Stegostoma tigrinum: one gene and its partners. The protein of the gene in region 1 purifies or fractionates together with the protein of each later gene. This does not show direct contact. Links are inferred from orthologs where the notes say so. Each region holds a gene or a part of one and is shown in the gene's direction. Other genes may lie near its edges. The genes, in order: gatad1, kdm5a and phf12b.

The links.
Region 2: the proteins of gatad1 (region 1) and kdm5a purify together in Homo sapiens (affinity purification with mass spectrometry; 6 studies listed by BioGRID and IntAct, with this or other methods). This does not show direct contact. The link is inferred for Stegostoma tigrinum from reciprocal best matches to the Homo sapiens genes GATAD1 and KDM5A.
Region 3: the proteins of gatad1 (region 1) and phf12b purify together in Homo sapiens (affinity purification with mass spectrometry; 7 studies listed by BioGRID and IntAct, with this or other methods). This does not show direct contact. The link is inferred for Stegostoma tigrinum from reciprocal best matches to the Homo sapiens genes GATAD1 and PHF12.

The regions. Positions count from the first base shown.
Region 1 is NC_081355.1:108,519,003-108,526,336, reverse strand, and holds the start of gatad1 (GATA zinc finger domain-containing protein 1), read left to right. Parts: upstream 1-4,317; 5' UTR 4,318-4,454; coding exon 4,455-4,664; intron 4,665-7,119; coding exon 7,120-7,245; intron 7,246-7,334. UniProt on the Homo sapiens protein: Component of some chromatin complex recruited to chromatin sites methylated 'Lys-4' of histone H3 (H3K4me), with a preference for trimethylated form (H3K4me3).
Region 2 is NC_081371.1:279,968-287,800, reverse strand, and holds the start of kdm5a (lysine-specific demethylase 5A), read left to right. Parts: upstream 1-4,799; 5' UTR 4,800-5,048; coding exon 5,049-5,195; intron 5,196-7,833. UniProt on the Homo sapiens protein: Histone demethylase that specifically demethylates 'Lys-4' of histone H3, thereby playing a central role in histone code. Does not demethylate histone H3 'Lys-9', H3 'Lys-27', H3 'Lys-36', H3 'Lys-79' or H4 'Lys-20'.
Region 3 is NC_081380.1:28,534,025-28,541,202, reverse strand, and holds the start of phf12b (PHD finger protein 12), read left to right. Parts: upstream 1-4,072; 5' UTR 4,073-4,805; coding exon 4,806-4,871; intron 4,872-5,148; coding exon 5,149-5,330; intron 5,331-7,178.

The DNA.
Region 1 (7,334 bases):
AAATGAAAGGGGAGATATAAAAATGGCAAAGAAATTGCAAAACAAAGTATGATGAAACTTGGAAGAAGGGAGGTAAGATGTACATCTGAGTACTTTTGATATGTAATCATAGTTTTATTGGAGGAACCTGCAGCCAATTTGTACACACTGTTCCCACCAAGAGCACTGAGACAATTGCTAGATGTATTGTAGACTATTAATATGAAATCTGAACGTGGAAATGGTTGGAATATAAAACATAAACTAGGTACTAGAAAATACTCCAGCAGGTCAAGCAGCATCTTTGGAGCGATAAACTGAGTTAACAGTTCAGATCAGTAGAAAAGATAGTCAACCTGAAACATTGCTCTGTCATTACGCATTGATGCTTTCTGAATTATGAGTATTACCAACAGTTTGTTTGAGGAACACCAGGTGAATTCCTGATAGCGGATGTGTTCTTTTGAGAGCTGTTTGCATTGTAACAGTTTGAAATTATCTGAGGAAGATTGAGTAGCAGTATCCTGCAACACCATGAAGTGTCAAAACATTTAAAACTCAAATGCCACTAAAGCATAAACTTTATGCAGAACAGATTGTAATTAACACTAAAGCACAACACTGTGGATGATGAAACTGTAGTAGTAAGGAGAGGTGATACACCATTTCAGCAGCTACAGAGAAATGATGAGAGAATAATGCATGACACGGTGACAGAAATAAAAACAAAGTTACTGGAAAAGCTCAGCAGGTCTGGCAGCATCGGTGAAGGAAAAAACAGAGTTAACATTTCAGGTGCGGTGATCCTTCCACAGGACTGTGACAGAAATGTTAGGGTGAAGAAGAAAGCCACTCAATCCATTGTGACTGCAACAGCTCTCTAAGCATTGCTAAATACCTGCCTGTTCCCTGTTACCCTGAATATTGGATGATTATTGTTTCCAATTCAATGTTCTCTTGAATGCCTCCATTGAACCCACATCTACCATGCTTCCATGCAATTCATTCTAGACCAGACCAACTACCTATTGAAAACGTTTTCTCATCTCATATTTGCTGCTTTTGGAAACCAGTTTAAAATCCGTGCCAATGTGAGGCTGGATGAACACAGCAGGCCAAGCAGCATCTCAGGAGCACAAAAGCTGACGTTTCGGGCCTAGACCCTTCATCAGAGACGTCAGCTTTTGTGCTCCTGAGATGCTGCTTGGCCTGCTGTGTTCATCCAGCCTCACATTTTATTATCTTTGAATTCTCCAGCATCTGCAGTCCCCATTATCTCTTAAAATCCGTGCCATCTGGTTCTCAGTCCTGTAATCAACATGGAACAGTTTCTCAGTGGCTATTCTGTCTAGATCCCTCGTGATTTTGAAAACCTCTATCGCTCTCCCCTCAAAATAAACAGTCCAAATAAACCTCGACCCAGTGTTACGTACAAATGAGTACACAAATAGGAATCAGAGGTATTCAGCATGGATACAGGCCCTTCAGCCTATCTCGTCCTTGCTGATCAGGTTTCCTAAATTGAATTAGTCCTATCTGCCAAAGTTTGGCCTATATCCCTCTAAGCCTTTCTTAACCATGTACTTGTCCAAATGTCTTTTAAATGTTGTAATTGTATCTGTCTCTACCATTTCCTCTGGCAGTTCGTTCCATATGTGTACCACCATCTGTGTGGAAACAGTTGTCCTTCTGATCCCTTTTAAATTTGTTTTCCCCCCTCACCTTAAACTTATGCCCTGCAGTTTTCAACTTGCCTACCCTCGGTAAAAGACTTTGGCTGTTCACTTTATTTATTCCCATCATAATTTTATAAACCTCTATAAAGTCACCCCCACAGCCTCCCACTCTTCAGGAAAAGAAATCCCAGCCTTTCCTTGCAACTCTAACCCTTCAGTTTAAACAACATCCTTGTAGATCTTTTCTACACCCTTTTCTGGGACGACCAGAATTATAGTTGTGACATGACGGCCGATCCCTGCGCTCAGTCCTCTGACCAATGAAGGCAAGTGTGCAAAATGCTGCCTTCATCATCATCCTGTTCACCTGTAATGCCACCTTCAAGGAACAATGTATCTGTACCCCTTGGTCTCTCTGTTCAACAACACTGAGCAAAATGCAACAATTCACATTTATCTGCATTAAACTCCTTCTGCGACAACTCAGCCCACTGACCCAGTTGATCAAGGTTCCATTGTACTGTTGGATAATCATCTTTGTTGTCTGCTGTACCACCAATTTTGGTGTCATCTGCAAATTTACTAACTATGCCTGTTGTATTCCCCTCCAAATCATCAATACAAATGACAAACAACAGTGGACCCAGCATCACTGCTTGTGGCACACTGGTCATAGGCCTCCAGTCTGAAAAACACCCTCTACTGCCAAGAAATAATGAGAATTGCTGATACTGGAATCAGAGATAATAGTGTGGAGCTGGAGGAACACAGTAGGCCTGGCAGCATCAAGGGAGCAGGAAAGCTGATGTTTTGAATTTCTGAAGAATAGATTCCCTACAGTGTGGAAACAGGCCCTTCCGCTCAACAAGTCCACACTGCCCCTTGCGACATCCCACCCAGACCTATCCCCCTATAATCCACGCACCCCTGAATACTACAGGCAATTTAGCATGACCAATCCACCTAGCCTGCACATCTGTGGACTGTAGGAGGAAACCGGAGCACCCAGAAGAAACCCACGCAGACACGGGGAGAATGTGCAAACTCCGCACACATAGTTACCTGAAGCTGGAATCAAACCCGGGCCCCTGGTGCTGTGAGGCTGTAGTGCCGACCACTGAGCCACCGTGCTGCCCCTAAGGATCCTAACCCAAAACATCAGCTTTCCTGCTCCTCTGACGCTGCCTGGCCTGCTGTGTTCCTCCAGCTCCACACTGTGTTACCTCTACTGCCAATCTCTGTCTCCTACTCTTAATCCAATTCTGTGTACAATTAGCTAGCTCTCCCTGGATCCCTTGTGCAGCCTGCGCATCTGCCAATGTGGTATACTGCATCCGCTGTACCCGTTATGGCTCCCTCTACATTGGGGAAACCATGTGGAGGTTTGGCAATCGTTTTGCAGAACATCTACGCTTGGCTCACAACAAACAACTGCACCTCCCAGTCGCAAACCATTTCAACTCCCCCTCCCATTCCTTAGACGACACGTCCATCCTGGGCCTCCTGTATTGGCACAATGATGTCACCCGACGGTTGCAGGATCAGCAACTCATATTCTGCTTGGGAACCCTGCAGCCCAATGGTATCAATGTGGACTTCATAAGCTTCAAAATCTCCCCTCCCCGCAACTGCCTAACAAAACCAGCCCAGCTCGTCCCTGCCTCCCTAACCTGTTCTTCCTCTCACCTATCTTTTGCTCCCACTTCAAGCCGCACCCCCATTTCCTACCTACTAAACTCATCGCACCCCCTTGACCTGTCCATCCTCCCTGACCTGACCTAACCCCTCCCCACCTATACTCACTTCTACTGGCTCCATCCCTGTCCCTTTAACTTGTCTGTCTCCTCTCCACCTATCTTCTCCTCTATCCATCTTCGATCCGCCTCCCCCTACCTCCCTATTTATTTTAGAACCCTCTCCCCATCCCCCTTTTCTGATGAAGGGTCTAGGCCCGAAACGTCAGCTTTTGTGCTCCTAAGATGCTGCTTGGCCTGCTGTGTTCATCCAGCTCCACACTTTATTACCACCATTCTATGAGTTGTTTTTATGAGGGACTTCAGATTCCTAGCATAGAGTTGGGTAATTAAAGAAAAATCTGCCCCCCCCCCCTTTCAACATGTTTAGGAGATAAATGTTGGGTCCAACAAGAAAGAGTGAGTTTTGTTGTACCTGGTCCTTGGTAAAGAGTTAGACTCTCCTTGGAAATGAGGTGGATCAAGTGTCAGTAGGAGATCATTTAGGAGATAGTGATCATTGTAACGTTGGAAAAATAACATGTAACAATCCAAAATTCAGGTTTGGAATGCACCGCCTGCCACTGTGGTGGAGGTAGGTTCGAATGAGCTATTCAAGAAGTCACTGGATGATTATTTGGATAGAAATACTTTGCAAAGGTTATGTGCGAAAATCAGGCGGATGGCACTAAGTAAATGATGTTACTTTGAAGAGCCTGTGCGGGTACAATGGGCCAAATGGTCCGCGCGGTAACAATTCTATGATTCATTTCCATGCGAATTTAATCCTCTCGCGGCAAGGGGGCGGCGTTTCCCAGTTCTTCACTGCGTCCCGGTCGCCTCCTCCCTCTCGGGGGCGGGGGGACGCAGTTAGATGGCCCTCCCGCCGCTAGGGGAGCGCCGGCACTCGGTCCTCCCTCCTGTACGAAGGCTCTGGGCGGTGGCGGTGGCGGTCACGGTCACGGTCACTCGGTCCTCCCACCAGTAGGTGGGGCGGTGGCGATCCCGTTGTATCTGGGGAGGGGAGGCCGCGTCTGTGTGGGTTGTTGCTGGAGACGCGGAGAACATGCCGTTGGGTCTGAAGCCGTCCTGCAGTGTGTGCAAGGCCAATTCTTCGGCCATGTGGAGGAAGAGCAGTCAGGGCGAGATCATCTGCAACAACTGCGCTGGCAAAAGCCCCGGACCCGTCTCCGTTTCAGGCTTGACCGCGGGGTCCGGATCAGCTCCGGCTGCTCAGCAGAGCAACGGTGGCGGCAGTGGCGGAGGCGGCAAACAGGTGAGGCTGGGAGAAGGGTCTCTCTGATGAAGGGTCTAGGCCCGAAACGTCAGCTTTTGTGCTCCTGAGATGCTGCTTGGCCTGCTGTGTTCATCCAGCCTCACATTTTATTATCTTGGAATTCTCCAGCATCTGCAGTTCCCATTATCTCTGAGGCTGGGAGAAGCCTGAAGAGAAGGCCGCTCTGAGCTGTTTCAAATTCCTGTCCAGGGTAGAGGATGACCTGGGGAAGAGGCGCCAGCCTGAGACTAGGAGTACTTCTTTCATCAGTTAAATCAAACAGAATCAGAGCTGTAAAGCACGGAAACAGACTCTTCGGTCCAACTCGTAGATGCCGAGCAGATATCCTAAATAAATCTAGTACCACTTGTCCGAATTTATACTATAATCCCTCTCAACCCTCACAGATCCGTCCAGATGCCTTTTAAATGTTGTAATTGTACCAACCTCCATCACTTCCTCTGGCAGCTCGTTCCGTCTTTGCACCACCCTCATTGTGAAAAATTTGCCCCTTAGGTCCTTTTTATATCTTTCCCCTCTCATCTTAAACCAATGCTCTCTAGTTTTGGACTTTCCTACCCTGTGGAGTAAAACCTTAACTTTTCACCCTGTCCATTCCCTCTGTCAAGATGGCGGTTAAATCAGATTAAAGCTTTCATAAACCTAAAAGGGGCACTGGAGGTTCAAAATGTAAGTTAACAAAGCTTCCAGACCTGAAACATCAGCTTCCCTGCTCCTCTGATGCTGCCTAAGCCTGTTGTGTTCATCCAGCTCTACACCTTGTTAGCTCAGATTCTCCAGCATTTGCAGTTCCTACTATCTCAAAGCTCAAATTAAGTTGTCTTTTCAGAAAGTAATAATACATTGGAGCCCCTCCATTTTCCAACAGCCATAGAAGTCCTTGACTGTTTCAGTGGACACCACATGTTCCTTTTCCATGGACTCCAGGGTGTGGGGGTAACTTCAGAAGAGGGAGACTGGGAGTCATATCAGGACTGGGCAGTCACTGTTTTTGCCTTTGCACAGCAGAGTGTGAAGACATATAATATCATGTTTAATGACATGTTAGAGCTTAATCGAACCTGAAATATTTATCTTTTATGAGAAACTGGGGACAGGGATGAAAGATGTGATCCTCAAATGCTGTTGAAATTCCTGCCTTAATGGTCAGCATTAACTGGCTGTTTAGTCAATGTAAAAACAGAAAATGCTTGCAGTACTTTAGTAGACCTGGCAGTATCTGCAGAAGGTAAAACACGATTAATATTTCAGGTTTGTATCTTTTCATCAGACCTATTATTGAGGTTGATTGGCTCTTATCAAACATCCATACATGGATTTCCCAATCTAAACAACTGGATACATTTTTCATCCAGTCCAGCAGGTTTGAGTAGTCTTAGTATTCCACTTTCTGGTTGAATTGATTCAATACCAACTAGAAGTGAAAGTTATAGGAACTTCTATGAGCTTAGCTCATTGAGAGATTTCTGTCCTATGGTAATATGACTTGTCCTGCCCATAGAGTCTGTTCCTGCATTCATTGAGATCTTGGCTGATCTGTTAATCCCAGAAAGGGTCCCAAAACTATTCAGCGTTCCAGCTCTGGTCTGATTAATATCTTGTATAGTTTTAGATTTACTTTCTATGGATGCCCCCATTTAGTTTCCTTTTCAAAGCCATCTCGTATTTTGATATAACAAGGTGTAGGGCTGAATGAACACAGCAGGCCAAGTAGCATCAGAGGAGCAGGCAAACTAACGTTTTGGGCCTAGACCCTTGGCCTGCTGTGTTCATCCAGCTTTATACCTTGTTATCTCAGATTCTGCAGAACCTGTAGTTCCTACTGTCTCTGCATTTTGATATTTTATTTTCTAAGGCCATTATTGAAGTGGTTTCAGCAAAATAAACTTGATCTATGTCGGTGTTTCTTCAGTATTAATAGCATAATGAGACGAATGACGTGCTGTCACTGAATAACTACAGATAAACTCAGACGAAGAGAGATAGTAGGAACTGCCGATGCTGGAGAATCTGAGATGACACGGTGTGAAGCTGGATGAACACAGCAGGCCAAGTAGCATCAGAGGAGTTTCAGGTCGGGACCCTTCTTCTTGGCCGGCTGTGTTCGTCCAGCTTCACACGTGTTATCTCACGCTAAGAGATGCCTTTTTCGCTACGTGACCGCAAGTATTCTTTTTACTTCGAGAATGAATTTATTGTACTGGACTGTGTTCATTATTCTGTTGAAGTTATGTTATTCCATAATGAATTCAGGAGTAAGCAAGATTGTGGAGTTGAGATTAAAATTCAACCCCTGTGATCTTATTGAATAAAGGAGCAAGCTCAAGGAGATAGACAGCATACTGTTCCTTGTTCATAAATAATTTTGGAGTAACTATGAATTTTTTGCCGATACTGTGTTTGTCCTTGTTTATTTTCTCTTCTGTTTTGACAGGCAAAGCAAGAAATTCATAGGCGGTCTGCAAGGTTACGGAACACAAAATATAGGTCCATGCCACCTGCCGAAAAGAAAGTTTCTACAAAAGGAAAGGGGCGTAGACATATATTCAAATTAAAAAACGTAAGTCTATTAAAAAAGTACAACATCGGCATATTTAAGATTAGGTGGGGAAGGGAAGAAAACATTTCTTCAATTGGTAAGACAGTGGT
Region 2 (7,833 bases), on another chromosome or scaffold:
TCCCAGGCCCCAAGACGACTTTCCATATTAAGCAGGTGTTCACCTGCACATCTGCCAATGTGGTATACTGTATCCACTGTACCTGGTGTGGCTTCCTCTACATTCGGGAAACCAAGCCGATGCTTAGGGATCGCTTTTCAGAACAGCTCCGCTCGGTTTGCAATAAACAACTGCACCTCCCAGTCGCGAACCATTTTTACTCCCCCTCCCATTCCTCAGACGACATGTCCATCATGGGCCTCCTGCACTGCCACAATGATGGCACCCGAAGGTTGCAGGAACAGCAACTCATATTCCGCTTGGGAACCCTGCAGCCCAATGGTATCAATGTGGACTTCATAAGATTCAAGATCTCCCCGTCCCCCACTGCATCCCAAAACCAGCCCAGCTTGTCCCCGCCTCCCTAACCTGTTCTTCCTCTCTCCTATTCCTTCCTCCCACCTCAAGCCGCACCTGCATTGCCTACCTACTAATCTCATCCCGCCTCCTTGACCTGTCCATCTTCCCTGGACTGTCCTATCCCCTCCCTACCTCCCCACCTCTTCTCTCCTCTCCACCTATCTTCTTTTCTCTCCATCTTCAGTCTGCCTCCCCCTCTCTCCCTATTTATTCCAGAACCCTCTCCGATGAAGGCTCTAGGCCCAAAATGTCAGCTTTTGTGCTCCTGAGATGCTGCCTGGCCTGCTGTGTTCATCCAGCTTCACACTGGTTATCTTGGATTCTCCAGCATCTGCAGTTCCCATTATCTCTGATTGCAGCTTTATAATACTTTGGTTAAGCCACACTTAGAGTATTGCATTCAATTCTGATTGCTACATTACAGGAAGGATGTGGAGGCTTTGGACAGGGTGCAGAAGAGGTTTACCAGGATCCTGCCTCGATTAAAGGGTCTGAGTTATCAGGAGAGGCTGGAAAAACTTGGGTTGTTTTCTCCGGAGTGGCAGAGGTTGAGGGGAGACTTGATAGCAGTCTATAAATAAGAGATGCATAGATAGTGTTGACAAGCAGAATCTTTTTCCCAGAATTGAAATGTCTAATACAGGGGGCATGCGTTTAAGGTGAGGGGGGAAGTTCAAAGGATACATGAGTGGCACATTTTTTACACAAAGTGTGTTGGAAGTTTGGAATGCATTGCTCGGTGTGGTGGTTGAGGCAGATATGATAGGGGCATTTAAGGGACTTTTAGATAAACAACAAATGGATGGATACAGACAAAAGGTAGACAGAAGGGATTAGTTTAATTTGTTGTCTTATGGGGCACAATATCATAGGCTGAAGGACCTGTTCACGTACTAAATAATTCCATGTTGCAGTCTACATGGACTTCATGAAGTTGGTTGGGTTCAGTTGATGGCATAGTTTGTGATGCACAGGAACGTTAATCATGTAGGTTCAATTCCTGTATTGGTTGAGGTCAACATGAAGATCATTTCTTTTCAAGCTCACCCTTCCCAGAATGTCATGACCTTCAGATTAAACTCACCACCAGTTGTCTCTCTCTAAAGACACAGCAGCCCTATGGGACTATAGTGACTTTGCCTTTACCCATATGGGCTTTAGTAACTTTTGGCAAGGTCTCTCATGTCAGAGCGGTTAACGATCTACAAGCCCATGGGATCCAGGGGAATTTGGCAATTTGAATCCAAAACTGGCTTAGTGGCAGGAAGCAGAGAATACTGGTTGAAGGGTATTTTTGTGACTGGAAACCTTTGTCCAGTAGCATATCACAGGGTCTGGTGCTGGGTCCCTTGCTGTCTACCATGCACATTAATGATCTAGGCCTGAACAAAGAAGGTATGATCAGTATGTTTGTAGATGACATGAAAATTGATGAACGTTGTAAGTAGCAAGGAAGAAAGACTGAGACAACAGAATGATATAGATAGACTGAACTGTGGCAAGTTAAGTTTAATCGAGAAAAGTGTGAGGTGATGCATTTTGGAAAGCAAAGCATGGAGAATGGTAGGATTATAGGACGTACGGAGGATCAGAGTTATCTTGCTGTGGATGTCCATTGATCCTTGAAGGTAACTGGGCAGGTTGATAAGATGGTGAAGAAGGCATATGGAATATTTGCCTTTATTAGCCAAACTAATGAATACAAGAGCAAGGAGGTGTACTGAAACTGTATTTAATATTATTTCAGCAACAGCTGGAGTACTATGTGCAGTTCTGGTCATCATATTATGGGAAGCACAGGTTTGAACCGGTTGTACTGAAGAAGTCATGCCAGACTCAGAATGTTAATTCTCTCGTTTTCTCCACAGATGCTGTCAGAGTTGTTGAGTTTATCCAACATTCTCTCTTTTTTTTTAAGATTTACAGCATACACTGTATCTTGCCTATATTTTCCATGCTGTACCCTGGCCTTGGCCAATTCAGATATAGGGCAGCACGGTGGCTCAGTGGTTAGTACTGCAGCTTCACAGCGCCAGTGATCTGGGTTCGATTCCAGCCTTGGGCGACTGTCTGTGTGGAGTTTGTACATTCTCCCTGTGTCTGCGCGGGTTTCCTCCAGGTGCTCCAGTTTCCTCCCAGTCCAAAGATGTGCAGTCTAGGTGGATCGGCCATGCTAAATTTCCTGTAGTGTTCACGGGTGTGTGGGTTATAGGGGGAAATGGGTCTGGGTGGGATTCTCCAAGGGGCGGTGTGGACTTGTTGGGCCGAAGGGTCTGTTTCCACACTGTAGGGAATCTAATCTAATACAGCAACATCAACATTTTGGTTTGGGACCCTTCATCAAGACTTTATAGGGGTCCTTGTGGTACAGTAGTACTGTCACTACTTCTGGGCTAAAAGGCCTGGGTTCAAGTTGAACCTGCTCCAGATATGTGTAGTAACATATGTGAACAAGTTGTTTGAAAGTATGTGCAGCAGGGATTATCACCAAAATCATTTCCCCAGTCAAAAAGGTACAATACTATGGTCCAAGTGCCTGAAAATAAAATTAGAATGGATGGATAAATTAACATGAACAGCTGAAAATCTGAAACAAAAGCAGAAATTTCAGTTTTGGAAGCATGAGTGGAGAGAAAACAGAACCAATATTTCGGGTCCAGTGACCCTTCTTCACAGCTGATAGTAACTAGGAAATGTGGTATACATGCTGAAGACACAGCGTGGGATGGGGCAGTAAGCAGATAGGTGGAGACAGAGACCAGAGGGAGAGAAACAAATTTAGACAGATAAAGGGATGGATGAAGGAGAAAAATCTGATAATAGGGACCACAAATGGGGGAAATTAATTGACTGTGCTGAAATCCAGCTGTAGTCATGACAGAGGCTGTGGTGTGATTGGTTAAAGAGTTTGGAAGGAGGTGTTCAGGGTTCTAAAATTCTTGAATTTGACTCCTGCAGACTACAGGGTTCCCAAGTGGAAATGACTTGCTGTTCTTCCAGCTTGTGCTGAGACTCGCTGGAACACTGCAGTGAGCCTGAGACAGAAATGTTGACCAGGGAACAGGTGCTGTGTTGAAGTGGCAGGCAACTGGAAGCTTGGTGTCATTTTTACAGACAGTAAAGTGCTTACCCAGTCTGTGTTTCACCTCCCCACAATGTGAGCAGCGAATACAGGCAACTAGATTAGGTAAATTGCATGTAAATCACTACTTCACCTGGAACGTGTGTCTGGAACTTTGGATAGTGAGGAGAGACTAAGTAAACGGGCAAGTGTTGTACCTTCTGTCATTGTATGGGAAGATGTGGGGGTGCAGGAAGGTGTCGGGAATAGAAACTGAACCAAAGTGTCCCAGAGGGAACATTTCCTGTGAAATGCTGACAACAGAGAGGAGACAAATATGTGTCTGGTGGTAGCATCCCACTGGAGGTAGCAGAAATGGTGGCTTACGATCCTTTGGTTGCAGACGCTGGTGGGTGAGGAAAGGAGACCCTTTTAGTGGGAGGAGAGAGTACAGGTGAGGCCAGAAGAGTTGGAAATGAGTTAAACAGGGCTAAGGGCCCTGTTCTCCAACTCTGTTGCGGCTGTTCTGACGATGTCACGTTCTGCAGAGGAACCTCATAATTTTCACATTTTCCCTTAACCAAGAATTCCCAATCACCATGGTTGACAGAGCCCTTAGTCTTGTCCGACACACCTCCCTCCCTTCGTCTTCAGCATTTATGACACCTTTTCCCAGCTTCAAACAGTTCTGAAGAAGGGTCGCTGGACTTGAAATGTTAACTCTGGGAACCATCAATTTAAGTCATCAGTTCAGAAAAGTCTTTATCCAGAAAGTGGTGAGAATGTGGATTTTGGTACCGCGGGAAGAGATTAAAATGAATGATTGGATGTGATGTACGGAAAGCTCGACAAGCACTTGAAGGGGGAAGGATAGCCTTGACTGGAACTGATTGCCCTGTTTTATATATAATCCGAAGGGCTGTAAGAATGGATGTTCGAATAAATTATATACCAACTGTCGACAGGAAATTGGATAAACACTTCAGAAAGTAAAGTCCTAAAGAAAAGGGATTGGATTCGGGTTTGTTCATTGTTTCTCTCTCTACTCACAAGCTACAGCATTTTCTGTTTTCATTCCGGAGCCGAGGACCTTGTGACCTGCTGTCCTCGGAATCTGAGGCTGTGGTCCTCAACCAATCAGAAGGTGGGACCGTGTAATAACAACCAATAGTAATTGATCGGGGGCGTTGGGGCGGGGCCATATCCAATAATACTGCAGCTGCTTTGCCGCGACAGCCAATCACCGGATCGATGAGCCCTGTAAAAACAAGTGTGTGTGAAATCTTGCTTCGCAACCCGCGAGCGGAAGTGGTGCGCGCGCCTGAGGACAGTCGCGCGCTTGCTTTGACCTTTCACCCCCACCCGCCCTCATCCTCAGGGACTGGGCCTAGGTTGCTCTCTCTGTGTGTGAGAGGCTCCCGTCGCTGCAGCGGGCGCCGGGCTCGCACTGAGCTGCAGCAGTCACCGCGTTCCTGGGTGACGCCAAGGCCCAGGCCGCGGTCTGGCGCCGAGGGACCACTCCGGGGTTGGAGCCCGGAGCCCCGGCCTCCCTTTGTCTCGGAGATTGCCTGCCGCTGCTGCCGCCATCATGTGGATATTCTCGGAGTTCATCCCGCCTCCTGAGTGCCCGGTATTCGAGCCGAGCCGGGAAGAGTTCCGGGAGCCGCTCGGGTACATCAACAAGATCCGACCCATCGCTCAGAGGAGCGGCATCTGCAAGATTCGCCCGCCCAAGGTAAATAAAAACCCTGTCTTCCCACCGCGCATCGACAGTAACTCGGGGGGAGGGCTGCGCTCGGCCTGCAACCACTTAAGAGGCCGTCGGCGGGGTAGAAGGACAGATCCCCGTGATGTGGAACCAGGAGGCCGCGATCCAACTTAATGGCGGCCGCCTCCTCTTCACAGACAACAAGGAAAACAACCCCCCCCCCCCCCCCCCCCCCCCGAGGGGTCTAGGCCCGAAACGTCAGCTTTTGTGCTCCTGAGATGCTGCTTGGGCTGCTGTGTTCATCCAGCTTCACACTCTGTTGTCAGGGAATCAAACCCTGATTGCAGCGGGTTCAGGAACGGGTGTAGTCTATCTGGAGAGAAACTGGTGTTGGGCGTCTGCCTAGAGTTTGAGTTCTCAGCCGTGGGTCGAGTCAATTTTTAAACAAAATTAATCAAGTCTACCTCTTCAAGCTGACAGTTTTGCCAACACCCCCGGAGGAAATCTGGCTATTTCTGCTATTCACTTAGGTTTCTCATCAGCACTTTTATTGAGCAGTGATCAGAGTCAGCCACGTTATTGTGGGTCTGGATGATAGTTTCCTTCTCTAAAAGATGTCAGTGAACGAGATGAGTTTATCAGGCAATCTGCAATGGATTTGTGGTCACAATTAGATTTGCAATTCTGGATTTTTTAAATTTCAAATTCCACTTTCTTCTGTGGTGAGATTTAATCAGTCCCCCAGAACCTTGAGGAAATGGTTGGGGGGGGGGGGGTGGTGGGTGGAGAGAGGGGAAGGAGGTCCTGAAATAAATAGGAAGAGAGGTGGAAAGATGACTAGTCTAAAATCACTAGTCAAAATGGTGGGGATGGAGCCAGTAAAGGTGAGTGTAGGTTGGGTGGAGATACCTCAGTCCAGGGAGGACACACCTCAGTCCAGGGAGGACACAGGTCAGAGGGGGTTGGCTGAGGATATGAGGTGGGAGGAAGGACAGTTAGGGAGGCAGGGATAATGTAGGTGGAGGGGAGATTTTGAAGCTTGTGAAGCCCACGTTGATACCATTGGATTGCAGGGTTCCCAAGTGGTCCTTGAGAAATGAGGATGTCTGAGATGATTGGGAGTAGAATGCCTCATCCTGGGAGCAGCTGCTGCAGAGAAGGAATAGGGGATGGCATTTTTGCAGGAAGGTGGGTGGGAGGAGGTGTATCCTAGGTAGCTGTGGGAGTCCACCCCCACCCCGTCTCCTACCTGCTAACCTCATCCTGCTCCCTTGACCTGTCTGTCCTCCTGGGATTGACCCAGTTCCCCTCTAACTCTGCACCTACACTCACTTTTTTACTGGCTCCATTCCCACCACTCTGACCTGTCTGACTCCTCTCCACCTATCTTCTCTTCTATCCACCTCCTCCCCTCCCTAGTTATTTCAGAACCCCCCTCCCCACTTCTGAAGTAGTGTCTAGGCCTGAAACATCAGCTTTCCTGAATTTATGATGCTGCGTGGCCTGCTGTGCTCGTCTAGCACTACACCTTTCTATAGAACAATACAGCACAGAACAGGCCGTTCAGCCCTAAGTGTTGTGCTGACCTGTGAACTAATCCAAGCCCATCCCCTACACTAGCCCATTGTCATCCATATGCTGATCCAAGGACTGTTTAAATGCCCCTAATGTGGCTGAGTTAACTACGTTATCTTGGATTCTGCTGTTCCTACTGTCTCTGAAACAATCCTGTGGAACATTACCTGGGTCTCTGGATTAACAGCCCAATGATATTACTAGTAGGCTACCACCTCCCCAATAATTCCACTTTTTTATCATTAACCCTGATTGTTCTGTTTCTAATGTTTATCCAGTTGTCTTAGAAAGTTATTTCTTTCTGCTACCCCTGAATAAGAACCAGTCCTTTCCAGTTTACCATCATTTGGTGTAAGAAAAAATCTTTCCACTGGTTCTTACGTGGGATTCTTTAAGCCTGGCATCTTGGTTGCTGATACTGCTGCCATTGAAATGGAAATAGTTTAGCCTTTGTTATGCAACCTCAGTTTTATCACCCTAGTTAAATTGTCCCCTAAACTCTGCTTCAAAGGCTACAAAGCTTCTTATTTCTCTACATAAACTGAAGTCCTTCGTGATGTTCCTGGAAAAACCCTTGATTCATTTTATTTAGTCACTGGATGAGGGTGTCACTAATCAGGCAGCACTTATTGCCCAAGGGCAGTTGAGTCAACCACATTGCTGTGGGTCTGGAGTCACATGTTGGCCAGACCTGGAAAGGATGGCATAAGTGAACCTGTTAGTTTTTTCTGACAATTGGCAATGGGTTCATGATCATCATTTAGATTCTTAATTCCAGATATTTTATTGAATTTAAACCTTCCCCCCCCCCTTCCCTGCAGAAGGCTTGATTTGTTGATGATAGGGACCTGCTTTATTTATTTACTTTATCACTTGAAGTCTGCATTATTAACTCAGTGTTTGACATCTGTAACTTTCTTTGGTGATCAGCTGGCTTGTTGAAATGTTGCAGTAGATATGGTGAGGGTATTGTGCTGTAAGACAGGGAGTTCCAGAAATAGATTGGTTGTATTTACAGGACACAAGTATGTGTCTTAGAGACTGACTGGTAGCATTGGACTTGTGCACTGTTCTTTCCTGCTGTTGGAGT
Region 3 (7,178 bases), on another chromosome or scaffold:
AACATGCACGGTTTCCACTGTCAAGAGGGTGGCCCCACAAGATATCTACTTGACCTTCGAGAAAGTAGTCATGGTTTCCCTCAGAGGATGCACTAGCTAGGCTGCCTACTGCATCCTCTCCCAACCCAGATTCTAACACATCAGCGGGTATTTTAGCTGGATTAAAGTCAGCAGGACATGTTGGTAAGCACAGTACTACCACATCTCCACAGTTGACCAAGGAAGAACTACTCTAAAGTTGCTGGTACTTTGATGACTACCGGAGAACAGGCACCTGCTCAGGTTCTGGTAGGAGGGGACCCAACAGGGTCAACAAATCACAACTTCACCGAAATGCACAAATAGACACAGAAGCAGCCAGCAGGTTTGTTGAAGGCACGAGACAAACTAACTCAAAGGTTGGAGGATTCCACCAAGGCTGTTTGTACTGTGCTTTCTTTGGCACAGAAGTGTCTGTCTGCCTCTATGGACAATTGTCATGGAGACCCAAGTCTAGCATACAGACCACCAGCTAGATTTATGCACAGGCCTATACTCCATCAATCTAACCAGTACCAACAGCAATGCCACAGAGGAACAAGGGACCTTACGGTAAGTCCAAGTGCCCCTTTCTCACAAGTGAGAGGCCCCAACTAGTACAAATCTAGCCAGAGGAGGAGCTACATATAGGCTCCCCAGAAGTCTACTCTAAAATGACCCTAGAGCTGGCTGCACCTTCTATATCAACACTGACTACCATCCTCACCCCTACGGGAGTTCAAACCGAGGAAGGTGCACCAACTTCTGTGCTGAACACATCTAGAATGTCTGTGCCCTCTCGCCACAAATGTCACCAGGCTTGTCTAACCAGGAGTCCCCCTATGTTTTCTGCCATGAAATATTCCCTCGGATGTTGTCCAAGATAGAGGACCAGAAGAATATGTGGCGATCTAGAGTTGCCAGGCAACAACTCTGACTTTCATGTCAGGAAAACTCACCATCTAGTTTCTATCCGGTCGGTGGGAAACTGGACATCACTGACATGAGATTAGGAAAGAACAAAATGTTAATACGCGCAGAGAGACCCTCAGGTTAAAAGTCTGATATGGTACCAAATGCTATCAATACTTAGATTGCATATACAATTGAACTAATCAGCCTGCATATTTGCAAAGTTCCTGAAATCTATATCTTCTTTCCTGTCCGGATGCTCCTCTGAAGTGATATTCCACTGGCTACAGCATAGCTGCTGCAAAATGCTGAGTTTCAGTGCAGGAAGCTGCAGATGGCCTTGGAGGAAAAACTTGAGCAGCCACGGGCCAAGGAAGATTCAATTTCAGAATTCACAACTGAATATTTGTTTCCAAATTAAAGGCCACCATTCTCAGCGCAAAACCAGAAATAATTGAGCTGTTGCTGAAAATTTATCCCTGCTTTTGTCACCTCTACAGTCACCCATTCCGATTCTGTCTGGTAACCTACTCTTTTTGCACGCTTCAAAAGCTTGACCTTGTTTAAAACTCTGCTGCTTCAGAAGAGGCCTTATTTCCAATGCACTTACTACCCTTCTACTCTCTACTATATATTGATGATCAACACTTCAAATTAAAAATTTCTCATCCCTGTATTCAAATCCCTTCACAGTCACAATCTTTCTGATTTATGTGCTGCAATGCCAATCACTACCAGCTTATGCTACGGTTAGATTTCTGCCACTATTCTCTTTCCTTGATCAGGTTACCATGGTTCAGTTTACGGTGTTAGAGGTAAACTGCTGATGAGACTTAATGAGGTGAGATTCTTGCCATGAACAATACATAGCTTTTCACATGAATGTTATGATTGCAGTGGATTGTACTGTTCAACAAATCAGATCATAGAATGAAACCTGGCTTAATAGACTTCTTAACATCTTAATTAATTTGCTGGTCATTCACTGACACACAAGTACACAGGGTTTAATAGGAGAAGTTCATTGCACAAAAGCCAAAGCCAAAGCCAAAATCAAGGTCAAAAGAAAACAAACCAAGCTATCTTGATACAGGACACAGTTTTAAAAATTCTTAAAACTTCCATCAAGATTCAGTCCGCTGCCCATTCAGATCTGCGTCCAAATTAGCATTTCTCTAATTCTGGCCTCTTACATATCCACAAATCTTCACAACCAGGCATCAAGACCCAAAGCTATGAGAAACCTTCTCTCACTTCTACAATTTTGTTTCATCCAGATTTTCCATAATATATACAGCTGAAGATGGGTAACTGTACATTCTTTGCAATAACAGTCAACGCTGGAGACCCCCCCCCCCAACAAGTATGTGTCCTGAGCCCCCTATTGTACTCCATGTACACTGATGGCTATGATGCCAAATTCCAAACAAATGTCATCTGCAAATTCATGGACGACACCACTGTAGCAGGACGGATATCTAACAACCATGAGTCAAAGTACAGAAGGGAGATAGAGGCTTAGCGACATGGTGAAATGAGACCAACCTATTTTTCAGTGTTAGCAAAACTAAAGAACTGAATATTGGCTTCAGAAAGAAAGGAGGAGACACACCCCCATCTACAACAACAGAATTGAAGTTGAAAGAGTGGTGAGCATCAAGTTCCTCGAAGTAACGATAACTGACAACCTGTCCTGGACTTCCCACATAGGTGACTCTTCTTCCTCAGGCATCTCAGGAAATTTGGCATGCCCATAAGGACGCTCACCAACTTCCGCAGATGAAAAATTGAAAGCATACTGTCTGGGTGCATAACGGCCTGGTACGGCAACAGCTCTGCCTCGGATGACAAGAAACTACAGAAGATTGTGTGCACAGTCCAAAACATCATGGAAGCCAACCTTCCATCCATCAACTCCATGGTTGCTGCGGAAAGGCAGCCAACATCAGCAAAGACCTATTGCACTTCTGCAATGATCTCCTACAACCTCTTCTGTCAGGCAGAAGATACTGAAGCCTGAACACACGCACCATCAGGTTCAGGAACAGCTTTTGCCTGACCGTTATTAGACTGATAAATGGACTCTCTTGTCTCAAATAAGGTTGATCTTGCTAAACATCGATTTCGCCTAGCACATGACCTGTGCAATGTAACCCATATAGATCAAAGTAAATCCTTCTTTACTATGATCTGCCTGTACTGCTTGTAAACAAAATTTTTCACTGTACTTCAGTAGACAGTCAGCTTTTTGACCAAGTTTTTGTCCTGATATTTCTGATTTTTTTTCAATTCTTGTGCAATATAACACTTCAGGACATTTTCCTATCCCACAGACTGTATACAAAATACATGTTGTCATGGTGAATGTAGTTACTTTTTACTCAGAATTGGCTGCAAAATGCAAGGTTCATGATCTTGTCTAATTTCAAATTACGGCTCTCTTTGATTAATTTCGTGAAAGGTTACACGAAACTGAAATCAAAACTACTGACACTTTTCATCACAGGTCACAGCATATGTTGACATGATAAAATATGAAATGAGAGTACACATAAACCACCTTCGTCCATGTCTACAAAATCAAATAACTTAAGGGCAACTCCAAGTTAAGGTCAAGAACAGGACAAATAAGTGCAAATAACAACTCGCAAGTTTGTAGGATTTGGAAGCTGCTCGAGATTCAAGGCACCCTCGTAACTTACACTACTGCTCCCAAGAAGCCGCATCCTCACGTTACTGCCTAACGCAGTCTTGACACAGGACATGCGCAGTAAATGGGGGTCGTTGTGCGGGAGGTAGGCTGCGCATGCGGACTTGTCAATGAATGGATTGTGGGGGAGGGGGAGGGTTTGTAAAGTTAGGGTGAGAGGCAGAAGGGCGGGAGGGAGAAAGGGAGTGGAAGCGGATTGGCCGAGCGCTGCCCGGATCGCGATCACGCGACGGGGAGTCGGGGGCTGACGTCAAGAGATGACCGCGAGCCTCAGCCCCTCACCCTTCCGACGGGCACGCGTGCGCATTTCGCGCAGGCGCAGCGATAGAGTAACAAAAAACCCCAACGGCCGGTTGCGCAGGCGCGTTGGCTACTTGCTTGGAAAGACCCGGCGCGTGCGCAGTCGTATGCCCCTTTCTTCTCTTTTCCTCCCCTTCCTCTCCCATCCCCCCATCAACCAGCAGGCACTTGCGCAGTACGTGTGTGGTGTGTGTGTGTGTGTGTGTGGAAAGTTTGCGCCAACTTGGAGGCAGAGAGAGAAAAAATGTAAAGCGAGCAGCCTGGCCTCCGAGTGTTTGTGTATGTGCTGGCGGCCTTCAGACAGCACCGAGAACCGGGTGACAGATCGCCTCCGGCAGCCGTGGCCTTCTCCTCCCTCCCCACAGTCCGTCCGGCTTCAGGATTTATCCGCTTCATGGTGGTGCCTCTGGGGGGGTCTCTTCGCACGGATGGAAAGCAAGTGGTTCGACACGAATATTATTGTCGCCCAGGGAAGGCTTCGTGTCGGTTAGGCCCTGGTCGAGGCCTGGCTGCGTTGTTGCTGCTGCTGTCGTCGCTGGAGCCCGTTGAATCGCGAGCCGGGATTTCTTGTGGATTTATAAATATTACTATTATTATTATTATTCTGATTGTTTTTTCTCGGACACTGGTCCCGATCTGTGCCTTCGTTTTGGCCAAGAAAGTGGGAAGCTAAGCCAGGGTTTGAGGGGGGTGAATACCCCCCCCCGACCCTTTTCCACCCCCCAAAAACCCATTTTCGTCTCTTTCCCCCCCCTTACGGATTTTTTGTGGGTGTTGGTGACAGCTCAAGGGGGGGGGGGAAACTTGTCTGCTGCTGCCTCGCCACCTTTTTTTTAAAAAAGGAAAAGAAAAGCGGCCGTGTTGAATGTGGGATAAAATGGAGACCAAGACGATTGTCTACGACTTGGATACCTCCGGAGGGCTGATGGAGGTGAGGCTTTTTCTTTGCTCCTCTCAGCTGCTGATCGCGCCCAAACAAATCCACAGCCAGGATTAGGATTAAAAACAGCAAAATTCATTTCTTTTTGCTTATTTAAAAAAACCTCAATACAAATGGCATCTATCTTTCTCAACCGTCTTTTTTGTTAAATAAACAAACGTTTTGGGTCTAGTCTTTTTTCGGCCTGCATGGTGAAAATGGTTTAATCTTACGACCCCCCCGCCAACCCTTCTCCCTTCTCTTCCTGTTTTTATTCTCTTCGCTGCAGAAAATCCAAGCGTTGTTGGCCCCTCCGAAGAGCGAGGAGAGCGACAAGAAGGCCAAGAAGCTGGAGAAGGAGCCGAGGCGGAGCGGCCGGGCCACCAACCACGACACTTGCGATAGCTGCAAGGAGGGGGGAGACCTACTCTGCTGCGACCATTGCCCGGCCGCCTTCCACCTCCAGTGCTGGTCAGTACTTGATGCAAGCGTCGATCTTTCCTCCAGCCCCTCTTACAGAGGGGGACACCTAACTCGGGGATCTGTGATACTGGGGATGGGGGTTTCTTGATAGAGAGCGGCCTGCTTCATCCAGCTCTATACCTTGTTATCTTTGGTTTAAACCTTCTTGGGTTTTTGTGTGTTTTTTTTTGTCTGCTGTCTTTCCCAGGCTGGTGTGTGGTTTTAGGTGTAGTTTCCTAGGTTTGGCCTCAAGGTGTGTGGACCTCGGTTGTGTTTTAGTGGCTGCTTTCTGTACTGCAGTTGTTGCGGCTAAACGATTTCCTTGTCCTGCTCTCTTCTCTCCCCCTGCCCCCGCTCCACGTTTGAGAGGTCTAAGCGAATCCTGCAGCTGGACCTGAACTTTAGAAAGGTGAAGGAAGCTATACACGCTTAAACAAGTGGTTGTCCCGTTAATTGGAGGAGGTTCTGCTGTCACCACATTCGGATCTTCATTGCCAATGCACCCCTCTTCTGACTTTGCAGTTAGGGTCTCATTAAAGTATATGGTAGCAAGATGGGTAGGATAGGGGCACAGTGACTAAACACACCTATCCGCTTCTCATCATCATGGCCTTGTTTGTCCTCAGGGATAGTTTCCTACAAATAGGCCTGGTCCCTGAGCACCCATCTGGGCACCGAGCCGGATGCCTTCCTTTCCTTCACTTAATGTGTTTGCAAATACGCAACATGGCGACCTCCGTTTAAATTATATTTTCTACTCGGAGCGCCATTTTAGTTGACTTCTCGGTTCTGGAGGTTAGTGTCCGATTTAAACTGAGTTCGAAAGGCTCTTGGAAATTTTGTAAAGAAGTGGAGGAGTTCTGATAAATCTCTGGTACACTTTTTCGCTTATTGTTTTATCATTTTCAAGATTCTCTTTTTAAAAAAAACTCACGAAAGTCATGTTATCCCTGTGATTTAAGATTATACAAAGGCATTACATGAAAGTTATTCCATTCAGTCTTGTAATGTCAGTTTATCTCTAATTTTTTTGGCGCTTATCGAGGATTTAAACTTTTCACTTTAAATATGAGAATGCTTGAATGGTCAGTGTAAATATCTCACTGACCGAATAAAACGCACTAGATTTTAATATTTATCTATATCAAGCAGTAAAAAGTACTACTTTACAAGACACTGGCACTTGACAACTTAAATTTAGGTCAGACAATATCTTTCTAAGTTAGATCACTTTGATATCTGAATAATCTATTAAATTTCCATTGACATCTTGCTTTATAAACTGGTTTGTTAGATTTCTAGAGTTCTTCCAGGAGAAAAATGTAGTTGTTAATGCCTTTATGTCTGCTGTACTTTAACTCCATCTTGTCATCAGTATTGTGGTTATATGATTGTCCAGTGCTGTTATTCCCCATAGTCTTTGGAGCACTTTGCTATGTTGAGTTTTGGAATTCTTGTGTTGCATTATTATGCTGTTAAGGTCGTTGAGAATGATTGTGTCCAAATGTATAGCCTATTCAGATTCTAAAGTTTTGGAACTTTAACACTTATTTTGATGTTTTAAACACTTAATTAACCTAATTAAATGTTTTGAATTATTCCTTTTAATTCTTGGGGCAATTTTAATTGAAGGTCAAACTTTATTGTAAATGAAGAGGACTTGCATTAATTTTATGCCTTTCATGACAATTTAGCTTTATAGCCAATAGACCAGTAGTAGAGTAAGAAATACAGTGGTAATTGTAACAAGTCAAGCTTTACAAACAGATGTGAGAATAACCAGGAAATGTTTCAGGTGTCAGTTGAAGGCTAAATATTGCCAAGACTCTGGGGTAATTTCCCTGCTCTTCAAAATGT